Linked DNA regions of Arabidopsis thaliana. The protein of the gene in region 1 interacts with the protein of each later gene in a pairwise test. Each region holds a gene or a part of one and is shown on either strand. Other genes may lie near its edges.

The links.
Region 2: the proteins of PLC2 (region 1) and MLO2 interact in a protein complementation assay, tested with the Arabidopsis thaliana proteins (one large-scale study listed by BioGRID).

What each region holds. Positions count from the first base shown.
Region 1 is NC_003074.8:2,580,426-2,589,232, forward strand, and holds PLC2 (phospholipase C 2), read right to left. Parts: upstream 5,474-8,807; 5' UTR 5,132-5,473; coding exon 4,832-5,131; intron 4,324-4,831; coding exon 4,127-4,323; intron 4,039-4,126; coding exon 3,903-4,038; intron 3,817-3,902; coding exon 3,580-3,816; intron 3,500-3,579; coding exon 3,276-3,499; intron 3,188-3,275; coding exon 3,070-3,187; intron 2,927-3,069; coding exon 2,774-2,926; intron 2,692-2,773; coding exon 2,605-2,691; intron 2,495-2,604; coding exon 2,201-2,494; 3' UTR 1,937-2,200; downstream 1-1,936. Other genes in the region: AT3G08505 (zinc finger (CCCH-type/C3HC4-type RING finger) family protein), read right to left, coding at 178-214, 301-389, 477-546, 644-1,320, 1,398-1,485, 1,608-1,618; AT3G08520 (Ribosomal protein L41 family), read left to right, coding at 5,607-5,618, 5,716-5,781; AT3G08530 (Clathrin, heavy chain), read right to left, coding at 6,746-6,901, 7,000-7,110, 7,224-7,346, 7,463-7,648, 7,751-7,921, 8,006-8,491, 8,614-8,807. UniProt on the Arabidopsis thaliana protein: The production of the second messenger molecules diacylglycerol (DAG) and inositol 1,4,5-trisphosphate (IP3) is mediated by activated phosphatidylinositol-specific phospholipase C enzymes.
Region 2 is NC_003070.9:3,799,676-3,807,943, forward strand, and holds MLO2 (Seven transmembrane MLO family protein), read right to left. Parts: upstream 4,559-8,268; 5' UTR 4,196-4,558; coding exon 4,073-4,195; intron 4,021-4,072; exon of another isoform or gene 3,885-4,020; coding exon 3,827-3,884; intron 3,712-3,826; coding exon 3,446-3,711; intron 3,353-3,445; coding exon 3,236-3,352; intron 3,143-3,235; coding exon 3,082-3,142; intron 3,012-3,081; coding exon 2,848-3,011; intron 2,765-2,847; coding exon 2,670-2,764; intron 2,584-2,669; coding exon 2,534-2,583; intron 2,448-2,533; coding exon 2,407-2,447; intron 2,328-2,406; coding exon 2,154-2,327; intron 2,064-2,153; coding exon 2,028-2,063; intron 1,943-2,027; coding exon 1,875-1,942; coding exon of another isoform or gene 1,871-1,874; exon of another isoform or gene 1,786-1,870; coding exon 1,725-1,785; intron 1,632-1,724; coding exon 1,224-1,631; 3' UTR 1,045-1,223; downstream 1-1,044. Other genes in the region: AT1G11303 (G-type lectin S-receptor-like Serine/Threonine-kinase), read left to right, coding at 1-121, 205-442, 527-656, 736-1,044; AT1G11320 (GDSL esterase/lipase), read left to right, coding at 7,566-7,676, 7,788-8,255.

The DNA.
Region 1 (8,807 bases):
AATATTAAGTTGTCATCACCACCTTGTGTTCTGTATTAGGAGAGAAAGTCACAAAAGAGAAACCAATAAGCTGACTTTTCATGGATTTCAAGTTTTTAAAACATGAAAAAACACTTATCTCTAATAATTACAAATAGATTTTGGAACTTACATTCGATTTATCTGGGAAAAAATATTTTAGAAAATCTGCAGGCCACCAAGGAACTCTGATAGCCTGAAATCAGTAACACATTATTATTATCAGAGGATAAGGCTAATGACAATGAATGATGACTGAAGTTGATCATATTGGGTAAAGACCTGATACTGTCTGTTATTACAGTTTCTCCTTCTTGAGAACCAAGATGCCGTAAAACAACCTCTTCCAAGTGACCATCAGAATATGCATGCTATATAGCAACACCAAAAATGAGTAAGACTAAAAATCATTCGTCTGCTGCTTTGCCTGACAATAAAGAATAGAGGAAAATACATACCTTATAGAAACAACTTGCTCCAAATGGGCAGTTTCCATTTCCAAAGTTGAAGTGCTTACAGTCGATTGATCTGCAAGATTGGAATGGAACACAAATTGTATCTACTAAGCAAAATCAAATTTGAAGCCAGCTCAAAATCAAGTTTTTATTGCAGTTAGTAACTATACCTGAGTTTAGCCTTGTATATGTCGATAATTTCCTTCTTCTCCTCAGGAGAAGAGTACCAGACCACACTAGGGACAACAAAATAAGAGAGTTTGCGACATATAGGACAAGCTCTCAACGTACTGTTGACATCCATTCCCGAAACAGGAGCACTGCTACGCCAATTACGAATACATTGTATACAAAACGGATGATCACACTCAGTCAACAGCCCAAACTTCCTTTCCCCTGGAGTAGCCTTTGACAAGATACGATCCAAACACACACTACACTCAATATCTTGACTTTGTTTCAAAGCCTCAATGTGCTTCTGCTTCTTCTCACATTCTTTCGTATGCTCTTCTCGTTCCTCGGGTCTAAAAGGATGCAAACACTTCTTGCCACAAGTATTGCAGAGGTCACCATGCATATGTGGACACTGGTTACCTCGAGGGCAATCACCAGCTGCAGCAAAAGAGCAGATCGGGTACTCTCTAGGGTGGATACAGTAAACGTTAGAGGATTTGTCACCGTCATTATTATCGCCTTGTTGTTGCAAATGCCTAGAGGGGGTGGTGGATATAGAGCGATCTAAAGACTCAGAATCTGAGCTAAGAGGAAGATTGGAAGCAGCTCTGACATGATCGTATCTACATCTACTTCCGTACAAACATATTCGTTTCTGATAGAATGTGCAAACCTAATTTATACAACCAAGAGTCAAATATTTGGGACTGATGAATCAAAAGAAGGAAACTTGAGAAGAGATTAGATTACATTATTGGGCGGATCCTTAGAGTCATGGGAAAATTCGCAATTTTCGCCTTTCAAGCACGAGCCATGGACAAAGAACTTGCACAGTATCCTACAAAAAAGAAATCAAATGAATCATCGTCCCCAGAAACGAAAGAATCAATCTTTATCACCAATCAAAGAGACACAAAATTGAAGAGTTTGATGAATCGAGAAGTTGGGGGATTACGATACCTATCGGACATTTGGGGATTTGTGCGGAGAGAAGAAAAAAAAGGGTGGAAGAATGGAGAAGGAAGAGAGAGCTTTATGTGAAGAAATTGAATTTGTACGGTTTTCAATTGTTGAGGACCAAGCAGACCCCAACGTTTTTGAGATAGAGCGCGCTTCCTCCACCTCCACCACCACCTCTCTCTTTCATTTACTAAAATATCCTTTCTCTTTTCTTTTTGGCCAATTTTGTTTTATGGGGTGTGATTGGTTATGTTTATGGAAATTCGATCAGTTTTATGTGATACATAAGAAAATTCTTTGAAGCCTTCTTGGTGGAATGGAATCAAACAAGTTTTAAAACACACTTGTTACACAAAAACCACAAATCATCATACGATTCAAGTGTTACACGAGACTACTACATAATAATACAACAACACACGATACAAGACCGTCTCTCTCTCTCTCACTTTCGTCTTTTATGTACATAATATTACAAACAACAAATCAAGCATACATTCTCTCTCACACATACAAATCCTCCAAATTCACAAACTCTGTGGCACTCAAACCTACCAGACAAGTTTAAATGCTGTATCTTTCTTAATCATGTCTCACACAAACTCCACCTTCACGAGAAGCTTAACGGATTTGTACTTCTCTCCTTTCCGGCTATGTAAAGGAAATGCTCTTATTCCTTCGCTTAGCTCCCAAACCGGTAAGCATGTCTGTCCTCCAAAATCATCTTTCTCTGACATGTCATACTCATGCACTTCTAATCGTAGCAGGGCCAGCTCTGGAACGGTTAATGGGAACTCAAACACCTCATCCCAAGCTGGTATCCAATTATCCTCCAGTGTTTTCGTCTTCTTCATTACTGTATCCCCTGGAACTCCAGCTATCCCAACCTGAATATGCATCAAAAGCTCAAATTGTTATATTGCAAGCATAAGAGACAAGAAACAGTTCTATCTCAAAACATTTGTGTGAGGTTTAAGGCAGGGAATCAAAAATTGACCCTTGTATAGAAGTCAGGCGGTGAATATTGGTCAAAGTGTGTGTGGCGGAAATCAAAGTACCAGCCTTCTCCCATGTATACAGTTACCTAAGGGAAAGAATAAGTTCACTGAGTTTGATCGGATTTGAATTGGTAAAAGAAAGACCAACCAGAGAATCAGATATCTCACCCTAAGTGTTGTTTTCACAGGTAGAGTAGCTTTTGGGTCAAATATGTCACTATCCGAACCACTTTTCAGCAGAAGGTCAGGTTTCTTGATGTAGCCACATCCGCCATTGGCTCTAAACATTCCCTGCATTAGCCACAATGATCTTCCATACCCCTGTACATGGAAAAAGATCACAATCAAATCAGCTGAGGAATAAGGTTGATGTCCTGTAAAATGATGGAACATAGCTCCTCCAAAATAACTAGAAGTTTTACTACTACGTAGAAAGAAGTTGGTAATATAGCAGAAGGAGATACCTGCATATTGAAAGCCACCATTTGAGCACCGTGGCTCCAGCCAACCAACGGGTTGTAATTTGATGATGTGACTCTAGTTCCTTTTGGGTATATCCTCAGCAAATTGTGCTGAGTAAACCTGCGCCACACCATGATTAACAGGATTCATATTGAGTTGACAAACTGCAACTATTACTTAGAAACATAAAAACATAATATGACTATACCTCACAATCTGCTTCGCATATTTTTCTGCTGCCTTTTCAAGTTGTTCTTCGCTTAAGCTAAGGCGTCTAACCTTGTCAGGATCTACCTTTAAACACTCAGTAATTCCGCCTTTTGGTTTCCCAGCATGGATTGCAATCAAATGTTTATACTGGGGTGGTGCATTAATCTTAGACTTGTCTTCATCATCATCATCGTCATCATCATCATTTCCATCTAAGTCATCCTGCAACAAGAAAGAAAACTAACATGTTTGTCCATGAACAGCAACAGAACAGAATGAAAATGATTTGTCTTCGTACACACCTTAGCTTCACTTTTGTTCCTCTGAATAAAGCTCGGAACTTCTCTTCCCCAAACTTCTTCATCCCCCAAGTCTTTACCTTTCTGCACCACTTCCACATCTTTTCCTTCCTTGTACTCTTTTGGGGGTTTGGTTGAGATGATAATACGTCTTTTTAAAGAGTTTGGCGATGGGAACTCCTTCAAAGATTCTCCCACAGGAGGAGTAAACAGAATTTCCCCAAATATCTCAGTAACCATCTATCATACAACAAGAAAACACATCTCAAAACCAATGTACTCATCTATTAAAGCAGCAAAGAAAGAAATGCAAAATAAAAAGCTACCTCAGCAACTTTAGACTGAAGATCTGGAGTAAGATGATCTTCAAGAGTTACAACAACAGGATAGTCAGATACATCAAAGGCATGTGCTCTGATAGCTTTGAGACATTTGATCAACCCCACAGGTGTAGTGAGAGTCCTGTTTAAGAATGGTTCAGTAAACAAGTTAAACGCCAAGCACCTAACCTTGACTTGTTTTTCGAAATAAATTTGAAGCAAAATTATACATTCCGTGAAGAACATCAATATCGTCTTTGTTGGAATTGGGCCATATATCCAATTCAATGACTCTAACACCTTTCTTCAACGCATCAATAATAGGTACCTCACTACAGTCACTGCTCAGCTGATTACCAGTCAGATAAGAATTATGACCAGTGAATATGAAATAATGCGATATAGGAGCATCCATGTCATGATGCACCTGAAACACCACAAATTCATTAGAGATAAGTCTATAATCAATCTGAAAATAAAAGCTAGCACAATTGAGTCACAATTACATGTATAGCCGGAATTGTAAAAATATTAATTACTTGTATCATGGATTTTTGTGTCAGAGTTCCTAATAGAGTAAATGTCACATTCCTAGATATGTTACTTTCTCAACTTTTTTTTTTTTTTTGAGACATAAAAAGAAAAACAATTCTATTGCTTCAAATTCTTGAATCAGACTTATTCCACAACACCTAAAAAGTACATAGCTCCTACGACTTTCTACCAAACAGCAGCTTCGAAGTTCGAACTCTTGATTAGACTCAGTGAAACATTCAAACAAATTATTCCAAAAATCTCACTTCCTCACACCATTTCCTCAATTACCAAACAAGGAAAACGAAAAATCCCAATCCAAAATCTGAGTTTCTTATATCAATCAATCATAGTTTACTTCAGATTCTGAACTCATAAAATCGAAATAACACGAAAATTACCTTATGGAGAGCAAGAGGAGGGTTATTATCACCAAAGAGGTACTTGAAGAAAGCATCAAGATGGAGACCATTACGATGAAGAAGAGAAGATGCAGAATTGATAATTGACTGTGCATCTTCTCTGGTGGCTTTATCTTGTTTCTGAACATCGATCAGAAACCTGTGGAGATGATCAACGGTCATAACTCCATTCTCTGAGTACTTTTCGAAAATGGTCTTGATCTCACGCGGTGCCTCCGATGCAGTGTAACGAAACCTCCGGCGAAAGCAGAAACACACTTTGTACGTTTGCTTCGACATGAAGTAAAGAAAAAGACGGATCTTTGGGTAATGATTGGAGACGATGATGAAGGAATGAAGTAGGGTTTGTGTGTTATATAATCAGAACTATCTTCTCATTGTTTTTGAAATCAGACAAGCGAGATCAGAATCGTCGTTTTGCGTGTCGCATCTGCAAAGACAAAGAGATTTTTTTCCTTTCTTTCTAGTGAATCTCCTCCATGTAATGTTTAATCGATCTTGAACCTTGTCGGAAAAAGATCTTCTTTCTCTCTCTGTGCGAATATCCCCTCTGGCAAATTCTTATCCATTTGGGTTTTATTGGGCTTTTGAAATAATAAAGCCCATTAAGTTAGTTACTAGGGTTTTGTTGTTGTTTAAAGGAGGAATAAGAGCGTAAGCTACAAAATCTTTCTATTCATCTCCGCCGCTCCTCATCCTGTAAAGCTAAACAAATAATCAGAGGAACGAAGGAGACAGCTTCTGCGAAATCAGCATGAGAGCCAAGGTTAGTAATGGGTTTTGATTGTTTAATGGATTTTTTAGTGATGAGAAATTGAAGTAGTGTGTAGGATCTTTATGGTTTGTGTGTTTGTGTGTTGCAGTGGAAGAAGAAGCGTATGAGGAGATTGAAGAGGAAGAGACGAAAGATGAGACAGCGATCTAAGTAGATTCGGGAGTTTGTTTTGTCTTTCTTCTTTTTAGAACCAACTCTTATGTGAGTTTTGTTGGTTTTGCAATTTTCAATTTGAATGTTTTGTTGGACCAAATCGAATCTATGTTTTCTATTAGAATTATGTTTATTACATGGAATGATCCTTATGAGTTACTGATTCTCCTTAAAGTTCTTCAATCTGCTTATCATTTTGGTTTAATTGATTATCTATAGTTAGTGTCTGCGCTGGATGAGTTTTATCCTGGTGAAGGTTGAACTTTTGATATTAGAAATACCAAGTGAATTTGTATGTCATCTAAGTATACTAATAAAAACAAAGTATGTTGGGTTGATTGAATCTTTCTATCCAGAACGTTTTCTTAGTAATGTAGCAGAAATGTGTGTTTACGGAGGGATGCAATTTTTAGTTCATGATGTTCAGATGACTATTGGTACTTAGGTTTTTATGTGTACATGTGAAATAAACCTACCCTAAGATTTCATTATTATTTCATGAAAATGAGATTCACGTTGCATCTATGTCTTTCTGATGCTGATGAATGATGATGATTGTTCTGAGGTCAACCAAATTCTCATGAAGGATTTATTTAGTCCTTCTCGATATTAATTGTTTCATATATGAATAACAACAAGGTGAAACTGATCAACGGTTTAATAAATCGAAAGTCGAATGGAATGAAATGCTGAAGGAAAGTACAACTACAAAACTCATATGAGTAAGAGAGTTGAGTATATATACTCAAAAATGGCTTTTGACAAAAAGTTAAAAAAAAATTACTCACCTAAACCCAACAGAATATTACAACGAAAGGAGGTTATTATCCACATTATTCCCAGACAAATTCTGGTCAGACATATAAGCTAGCTAGCAGATGAACACCGCCCTAGCAAATTGGGCCGACTCTATGCGCTACTGATACTTTTCCAAATGCGGATATTAAAGCATAAGCTGGTCTGCTTTAGTAGCCGCCCATCGGTGGCATTCCATATGGTGGCATGGGAGGCATTCCTGGCATACCGCCCATTTGTGGTGGAGGACCATACCCACCACCACCTCCCATTCCTGGCATCGGTGGTGCAGGTAAAGCAAGTGGCAACATTTGGGCATACATGTTCTGTTTAAAAACAAAAGAAAAACATATTACTCCTTTAAGTGTATCTGTCAAGATAAAGAGTCGGATGATATCCAGTGTAGCTGTGTCATAAGTAGTACCTGTTGGGATATGACATCCTTCTCTTCCTGCTCTTTGGCCTTCACCTCTTTTTGTGCCTCAAGCTTGTCCTTTATTAGCTCATCCACTTTGCCAGAGTACTCTCGGATAAACTGCAAAGAAAAAACGACAGGAAGAAGAGAATTCATCATAGCGTTCAAATAATGGTTCCAACCTCATTGAGCAGAGAATCAAAAGAGTTTATTTGAGGGTTAGGATAGATCACCTGGAGGAGATACGGGAAGGCAAAGTCCATCATATTGTTGATCCAGGCAAGTTCTAGAGCCACGTCTGGTCGGATTAAGTCATAACATACAAAGAGACATGTAGCAAAGCATTCCTTTTTGCCCTGTATAACAGCAGAAGACACGGGATACTACGTTCAACGTCTGGACCAATTCTTTTCAACTAACCAAACTGAATGGCTAGCACTAGCATCTCGTAAATGTTTAACCATCATCATACCTGTTCAATGAAATACACCAGTAGTTGTTCTGCAAGTTCATGTTCGCCTGATTGTGAAGCCGTTTCCATACAGTCCTTGTACATGTTGTCTTTCTTTGATAATGCAATTGATTGCTTCCATCTGCCCGCTTTCTTGTAGATATAAGCAGCCACACGTCTCATTTCAACAAGTTCGTGTTTCTCGATCTGTTCGCACCATTCACAGGAAGATTATATCATCTCTAAGGCCATTCTTTTTCCATTTTTAAAGAGAGAAAATATTAAAGGGGTAGTATATTTGAACTTTACCTTCTGAGCGAGGCCAATCTGGTCAAAGCTGTCATGTAAATCAATAGACTCTCGCAACCTATCGTAGTCTTCTTCTTCCACGTATATCTCATTCAGAGCCTCATTAACAGCAGAGACATTGTTGCTCTGAACTGCAATCATGTATGGCTTGATAAGACGCAAGTGACCAGCCTGAGATCAGAAGAAACCAATTGTTAAGTAATGTAGCTCAGTTGTTTTTATAGAAAAAAACAAAGTCATCAGTCAGCTTCTAACCTTCCGCATTATATCAACAACACGAGTATGGTCTAACCGCAACGCAAGTACGTTGAGAAGATCGTTGATTATATCCGGATGCTCTTGCAAGTAGAAGTGCACAGCCTTGTAGTACAGTTCAACATTCGCTACCTTGGCAACAATGTCTTTGAATTGCATGTGCTCCCATGCTTCAGGAGAATGGTTCATGACGGTGGTCGCAGCATTATCAAACTCATCATATTGAATGTACAGATAGGTAAGTTCCTGCCAGTGCTGTTGTTCATCACAGGCCCGTATAAGCTTGGGAATATTGAGGCGAGTTGAAAATAACTTGATGTGTTCCATAAGTTTCTCATAACGATATCTAGCATAGAGTACACCCAACTCGGTGAAGATACCCATGTGAGCACGTTCAAGCCCAAGTCCACTCTCCATAAGTGAGATTAATTCATTGAAGCACCCTCTGTTCTGGTAGTACTCGCTGACTTCTTCCAGGTCATCCACCTATTAAGCACCAAAAGATTAACCAGGAAATAAATGAGATACATTGGGCTATAAAGCATACACAATTGAAATCTAAAACCTGTAAGGGGAAACTTTTGTGCTCAGTAAGATCAGGTATTCACCTGAATGATAATGTTAAGACCACATATTTGAGCCAACCGGAATTCCTCAGCATCAACGCAAGCAAAGCAGACTTCCTTCCATGTCTTTGCACTGTTTGCTTTCCTTGCAGCATCAACAGCACCTTGGAACTGTTGCAACTTCACAAGTGTGACGGCTAACTTGCCCCAGTTTGATATGAACGCATAGATTATTT
Region 2 (8,268 bases), on another chromosome or scaffold:
GTGATTTCTAAGTTGCAACATCGAAATCTGGTGAAATTATTTGGTTGCTGCATTGCAGGGGAAGAAAGGATGTTAGTCTATGAGTTCATGCCCAAGAAAAGCTTAGACTTTTATATATTTGGTAACTTATCACTCTTTTTTGTTTTCAAACTCTGGTGCAGTGTTATCATCAGGTCAATTAACAGAAGCTAATTTGTTGTTCAGATCCAAGGGAAGCAAAACTTCTTGACTGGAACACGCGGTTTGAAATAATCAATGGAATATGTAGAGGTCTCCTGTACCTTCACAGAGATTCTAGGCTGAGAATCATTCACAGAGATCTGAAAGCAAGCAACATCTTGCTAGATGAGAATCTGATTCCGAAAATATCTGATTTTGGGTTGGCCAGGATATTCCCGGGGAATGAAGATGAAGCAAACACCAGAAGGGTCGTTGGAACATAGTATGTAACTCCATTCAACCATATGTTTACATCTTTTTTTTCCATTAAGAGTCCTAAAACCGAGAAAATAAATGTATCGTGCAGTGGCTATATGGCACCTGAATATGCAATGGGAGGACTGTTTTCAGAGAAATCTGATGTTTTCAGCTTAGGAGTGATACTCTTAGAGATTATCAGTGGAAGAAGAAACTCACATTCAACTCTTTTGGCTCATGTGAGTCTACTTTAACTCGTAAAGTTTCTTAACTCTCTTGAGATTGTCATCAAGCCATCAAAGCTTCTATGTTTCATAGGTGTGGTCAATCTGGAACGAAGGGGAGATTAATGGTATGGTAGATCCTGAGATTTTTGACCAACTTTTTGAGAAAGAAATACGAAAATGCGTTCACATTGCGCTTTTGTGTGTGCAAGACGCTGCTAATGATAGGCCAAGTGTTTCTACAGTGTGTATGATGCTTAGCAGTGAGGTTGCAGACATTCCAGAACCGAAACAGCCTGCTTTTATGCCTAGAAACGTTGGTTTAGAAGCTGAGTTCTCTGAGAGCATTGCTCTTAAAGCCTCTATCAACAATGTCACCATCACTGATGTCTCAGGACGTTAAAACCTGCAGAAATACAAATGTATGTGTAATTCGTGAAACTCTTAAGCATTGCCAGAGAATAACATATCATGTATCCATATAGATATGGTTATTTCTTATCCAACTAGTAATGTACAAGAAATTATTTTCATATGACAAATTTCCCACTGTACGAAATCAAATATAGCAAACAAGAATCATCATTTCTTAAAAGAAAAATCTCTTAAGCTTTTGCTAGTCCTTATAGGAGGAAGTTCCACAGATGCAAGAACAGGTTCTGAGCTTTCATGCGCAAGAGAATGATGTGTGGAAGTTTCAGCTTCTTGGTGTTGAGACTCAGGATCCCAAAATTGGTGTTCATGATGACCATGACCAGAGTATCTAGGAGAAGGAGAACTTGGGTAATTTTCAACGCTCCGGTTATTGAAATTGTGAAGGAGATGGATTGGAGATGAGCCATGTGTTGGTGTGGTTGGACGGCTAGAGAAAGGTGTGTTGGATCCCGAGTGTCTTCCGTGTTTCGTCTCGTTCTTTGCAGTGTGATGCCACTTCTTTAATGCCGTGGCTACTCTATCGTTGAATACTGTTGGCTTCATTTTACTACCCATCTGCACACAATTTTCATTCAACACAATGTAAAAAAAACTAAAGATCATATAACCAAAATCTGGCATCCATGTAACACTAATGTTTTCTAGTACCTGAGTAACAAGTGCATAGAGTGGAAGAGTCACATAGCTGCAAAGTATCTGCACAACAGCTCTGCAAGATTTATAAAAAGGGGGATTATACTTTTTCAGTTAAAGGACAAATTCTCAGAAGAATCAATAGTCAAGATAATGTTAGCTTACCCAACTACAAGTCTAATGACCACATCTGCAGTGCTTTCATGGAAACAATTATTGAGATTGAATTCATACTGCAAATACAGAAAATTTATGACATAACAATTAGTATAGCCCGTAACAGCGATGTTTTCAAAGAAAATGAAATGGCTCGCTTACCGTACTCCAGGCAAAGAATGCAAGTTGAAATGCATTCTGCAAAGATAAGAAAATTTATTCTACCGTTAGGAGAAAAAACCCGAAAAAGATCGAAAAAACGAGCGGTGAAGGATACAAGTATTGTACCGTAAAAAGGACCAAGTGAATAAGGAAAAGAATGAAGCGTGGCTTGCCAAACCAGAAGAGGTCATCACCAGGCTGAACCACTGGGGCGCCTCTCACCACATCACCTTTCTCTTGGATTCTTAGACCCAATTTTGTTATTATGACTTCAAGCTTTGTTCCAACTATTAGAATTACCTGCAGTTATATATTTTCACTCTGTTACAAAACTGGCGGCAAAAAGACAAAATCGGTTCAAGAGTTTGTTTGTACTTACGACTAGTGGAATGAATGGTAACCAGAGGTAAGAACGTAATCCTGTTTCAAAAGAAAACCGATGTCACTTTTGTGCGACTATTGATGCAGCTAAAATGTAGTTTTTGCGAGTAAGCAATGAACGTTACCATATGAATTGGTCAAGAGGAATAGCACAGCGACAAACCAGATAACCGGACTGCATAAAGTTGGCAGAGATTTAAGATAAAATATCCAAATTGGCTTTGCTCAGACTTTATAAAGCAATCATTATTAGATCCAAACCTGATTTCAACAACGGTTTTGAAGTCTTTCTCTAATGATCTCTGAATATACTTGCGGAAATCGAATCTTGATTCGTTACCGGGAGCAAAATGCGCCTGAAATATGTAGAATGTTAGATCATTGTCTTTGAGAGATACATGTTATAATGAACAATAGATAAAAAGAATAAATTCCATACCATGATGAAACCATGTCTTAGTGCTAAGTAATCAACTTTGGTGACAGATCCAAAGAACTGTCTAAAAAAACAAACAATCCATAGTGTGACTCTCGTCTTGCTCCAGAAATTGAGATGTCTTCTCCCAAAAGATGTGTCCCTCGCAAACCTGAACCTCTCAGGATCTGCATAACAAGACTAATTCATTCCCATTCAGGTCTTTAAGTTTCGTCGAATACTCACATATTTACATACCGTTGGAATACTGATACTCTATTGTCTTTGTCTCTTCCTCCCACGACTTCCACGTCCTCATCTGCAATACTCAAGAAAACAAGTATAAAAATCTTTTGCATACACTCTTTTTCTCGCCTTAACAACTGCGTAAGTCACAAGAAATGTTAGTTACCTTGATCTTTCCGAAAGCATAAGTAACAATGCAGTAAACAACATGAACAACCGCGAGCACGAAGATGAATATATGCAGCTGGTGGATTCCATAAGCAGATACAAAAGCCACTTTCCCCTGAGTAAATCCATCAATAGAAATCAAAATTCCATCGGTTTAACAAGCAGAGAATGATTTTTATATAGAGAGAGAAGGGAGATTATTAGTTACCTTCTCTGCACATTTGTCATAGCCTTTGGTGGCTAAACTTCTTCTATGGATATAAGATTCAGCTAACTCAAGAAGAAGTCTTCGACCGGGTTTATCTCCATCTCCATCATCTTTCTTTCCGGCGTCTTTCTTGCCGTATTTTTTAGCTTCTTCAGCAGCACTGCAAGGGTGCATTGTTGACGCAACTTTCTGGGAGATGCAGATATTTGAGATTGGTGTTTGTCCAATTGTGAGTAGTAGTGATATGAATCCCAACAGCATAAGCTCTGAATGAAGTTACGTAGAAAACAAAATCAGGAGCTTGTTAATGGATGAAGTTAAGTAGAAAAAGATAAGAAGCTTGTTGATAATGGATCAAGTTAAGTAGAAAAAGATAGTTACCTGCTTTGACCTTTTCAAGAGCTTCAAAAAGAGCCTGCTTGTGCTTCTTTTTAAACCACTGTTTAAGGCACAAAAAAAGGAATGATCAGATATTTTCGTTATTCTCACAGATTTAGTAGTGTTGATAGTGATAGGAGAAGAACTAAACAAATCCAAAAAAACAGAGCAGTAATTAAAGAAACAGAGCAGAAAGCAGAGCAAGAAACAGGGGAATCTTGAAATAAGGAGAAATATAAAGAGACTTACGGTTCCAATTTTGTGAATAGAATGTTCGAGGACAATCGAAATAAAGAGTAAGACAAAGCAAACAACAGCAACTGCCCACGTAGAGGTCTCCTCTAAAGTCCGCTCTTTTACTTGATCTGCCATTAGAGCTTAATCCTAAGAAAAAACCCCAAATAAGATTCTTCTAATTCCAGACCAGAGATCTTGTCTTTTTATATATAAATATAGAAACACACGAAGAGAAAGAGAGACACAGTCAGAGTTTCGTGTTCTTCTTTTGATCTAACTTCTCTCTATATTGAATTAGTACGCTACGCAATTTTGAATCTGGTCATAATATAGAGCAGACGAAAGAGGGAAGAAGAAGAAGAAGATAAGACCCGCAACGAGAGACTGTAAACTAAAGAAGGCGTTATTCGAGAAAGCTTCAACGTTTTGACTTTTCTTGTTGTTCCTCTCATGTGACGAGTGACGACGACTCCTCAATTATCAGCATAACCATTATTCTTTTTGGTCTACTTTATTTTGCTTTTTATTGGGTCAATCATCGGTGTTTTGTTTCTATTTTAAATCTATAACATTTTGGTTTCAGCTCGTTAGATTTTCAGAATAAAATAAAGCAAATTTTGAATTTTTTGATTCATTAGTCGTTTATTTTTGTTGGTATAATACTCCCATTTTGTGTACTTTGGAAGCCACTAGAGATTGTATAAGTATAAATAAGAATAACATTACTATAATGGGATCTTTCGTTGGAAAGTTCGTCATTTTGTTTTGTCTATTCCCAACTTGTTTGTTATATCTAAATAATATGCTCGTAGATACCAAGATTCAAGATATAACCATGCTCCTTTTTTTAATTTAAATTTTTACCAAAATGTAAATTTTCTATATATAAAAAAAGATATATTAATTGCTACTTGAAATTTATACAAGAAATTTCACCCATAATTGCTACTTGAAATTTGAAAATGATATTTTCCACCACCACCAATGACTGATTAAAAAATAAACTGATTTCTAACACACCTTACCACCCAAAACCTAATAAAAACTTTAAACTGTACCTCTATTTCTAACACACCCAATTAAAAGTGACTGATAAGTTGTCAAAACATTATTTTGAAAGATACATTGATGATGTGATTGTTTTTTTCTACAAAAATTTCAGTTTCGAAGTTTACCCATTAACGTGTTTTTTTTTTTTTGTTTTTTTTTTCTTGTTAATATCCTATATTTTATTAAATTTTCTTACTATCAACTGTACAAAAGTTTTATCATCCATTATACTATCTATAATGGAATTGTAATTTTATTACACTTAGATGTAACTAGAATTGTAAATATATTATTGTAGCAAACATTTGACTATTAAATTAATTACGTAACCTGGTTTTTATTTTGCCTTTTAATGAAATTATAAAAATTGTATAGTTTGAAAAATATGATACTATGACTATTTCTTATATCTTAAAATATTATTGTCAGATAAAAGAGTTTGGGATTTTTTGATAAGTTGTACTCTACAAAATATTCGAAAACAGCCTGTACAGTTGAACAGAGGCATGCAGCAATGATTAATAATTAATAGTTAGATAATTAGAATGTTAAGTGGAAAATTGTTGTATTTAGCTGACTTTCCAGTTTCCAATAGCCATCGCCCATCGAATGTTTATTTAATCAACATTCTTTAAAATAATGAGAGTGTTTTGCTTACTTGGCACGTGATTAAAGACTACTGACAGAAAAAAACAAGATTAAACATCTAACAGAAATAACATCTTTAAACTATGATTGCAAGTAGATATATATATATATATATATATATATATATATCAGAATAGTTGAAGAAATTACTGAAGAATCAATCAATATACACAAACAAAATTATAGTTTTTCTCCTTCGACAATATACGTTTAGAATTTAAACTAAACGAGATCCATATATACATTTTTTTTAATTTATATTTACTTTGATTGCATATGAGATTGATTGTACATGTACATATATGTTTATGATTATTAGTTAAAACTGATCGTGCATGTACATATATAAACTATGGAGAGTGGATTATAAGATTGTAAAAACTCAAATCTTTCTCTATAATATTTAACACGTGTTCATATTTATGACTGACACAATTGGACACAACTTAAGTTCAAAGAGTCAACAAATAACAATGCATGCTGAGGCATACATATATGTAAAAAAAAAAAAAATCGCAAAAAAAACAGATATGTAAATTATACATTATTGTTAATTGACAAACCAAGTTGCAAACTGCAACTAATCACATAGAGTTTAAAAATGTGATAATTAACGGAACGCTTAAGATGGACATGTAATTATATATTAATGAACTGAATCAAACAAAAACTAAAAACATTTATTGCTTATGTGGTTGATGAGATATTTGTTTTAAGCAACATGATCAAATGAGAATGTGAAGACGTGTTAGTCACATATGAATATGATTTATAAAAGAATCTAAGACGACATAAATGACTAGATGGTGGAAATAATGTGAGGCATCTTAATTTCCTTTTCATGCATCTTAATTTCCATATAATCCATAAAAAATGTATCTTATATGGTATTTTTCTCAATGAACGTTTTGTCCAATGGGCTAGAGACAAATATATCCTCCACTCTTTATAACGGAACGGGCTAACAATAAAAAAACGAAAGGAAAATTTGACGTCATCTTTTCTATTGTCACAAGAAAGACATCATATTTTCTATCGTTTTGTAGCATGTTACGTTTCAGATTGTTTTAGACTTTGTTTCTTAACTTGTCCTAATAGTTTACTCTAATTGTGTGAGTCTTTTACGAGTTTTACACGTACTTATAATATTTTTTAGTCAAGATTTCTATATTATATTTTCAAAGTTATGACCTAAAACTATCATTTTCGCTATATTAAATAAAGAAAATCACATTTCAGCTAACTACCTAAAGGACCTTATGAGGTTTATTCTTTCTTTTTTTAAGAAGACCCGATCAATATAATCAACTTTCTCACGACGACTTTCCAAAATATCATTGAAGTCAACCTTCACTGAAGCAACTAACCATATGCATCGTCCAGTTCAAGATTCTGCAATGCGATTCAATCGTTACCACAACTTAAGATCGAAACCGGACATTAGAACCCCTTTGTTACTTCGTCGTACATTCGTCAACTATATCCTTACCTTTGGTATCCTTCGCCTTTGATACAATGATACCAAAAGAAAAGAAGAAATAATCAGAAATAATCAATTGTTCTGGTTTTAGGTTGACCAAACTCTTTAACCGAAATAATCAGAAATTCGAAAATAACCGAAACGAACCGACGTAAGAAACCGGATCGTCCAATTCCAGATTTTGAAACCAAAATCCAAACACATAAACCCTAAAACATTTTCGCATCTTCTCTATTCAAATCCTCTTATCATCGATAGAAATGATCATCACTGGGTTCGAAATTTTCTAGAATCTTCAAGCTTTCCTTACCAGTTTCTGATTAAAAGATGGACCCAATTGCTTCGGTGTTGGAGAAAGTGAAGAGCTTTACGAAATCGAGCCAGGATTTAGTCTCCCGCCATTTCGGCTTCCATGAGAATCCTTCTCGCCTGAATCCGGTATCGTTATCCATCCCCTTTACTCATTTTGTTCTTAAAATCAACTTTTTGTTTGAAATGTGATGTTGAATTTGAGTTTCTGCATTGTTGGTTTTGGGAATTATGTTGCAGATTGATATCTTGAAGCGATTACAAAGAGAAACATTCTCGGATTTGATGAAACTTAGAGAAAGACAAGAGAAAGTAGAGCGGATCATTTCCTCGCAGAAATTATCGAAAGGAGGTCCCTTTCAAGAGACTAGCACTCATGTGAGAGGTGAAGTTGATGTGCTTGGAGCTATATTGCTGATGGGAAACACTGACGAGGAAAGTTTCAATGGACTCAACAAAGAAGGAGTGAGACCGGGATTGCTTTCAAGGTTTGTGTTTGAAACGAGTCTTAGGGAGACAGATAGGCTTGTGGCTGAGCTTGTTGCTGGATACAATGGGGCAGGAAGTCACAGGGATTTTTTAGGAGGAGAGTTGTCTTTAGCCAAAGTCTTCTACAAGGCAGATATTAATGATTGGTTCTCTGCTATTGCTATTCCTGTTGGCGCGCATTTCAGAGACATTGAGGCTTCTACTGTGTCTTCTTACCAGGTATCCACCAATC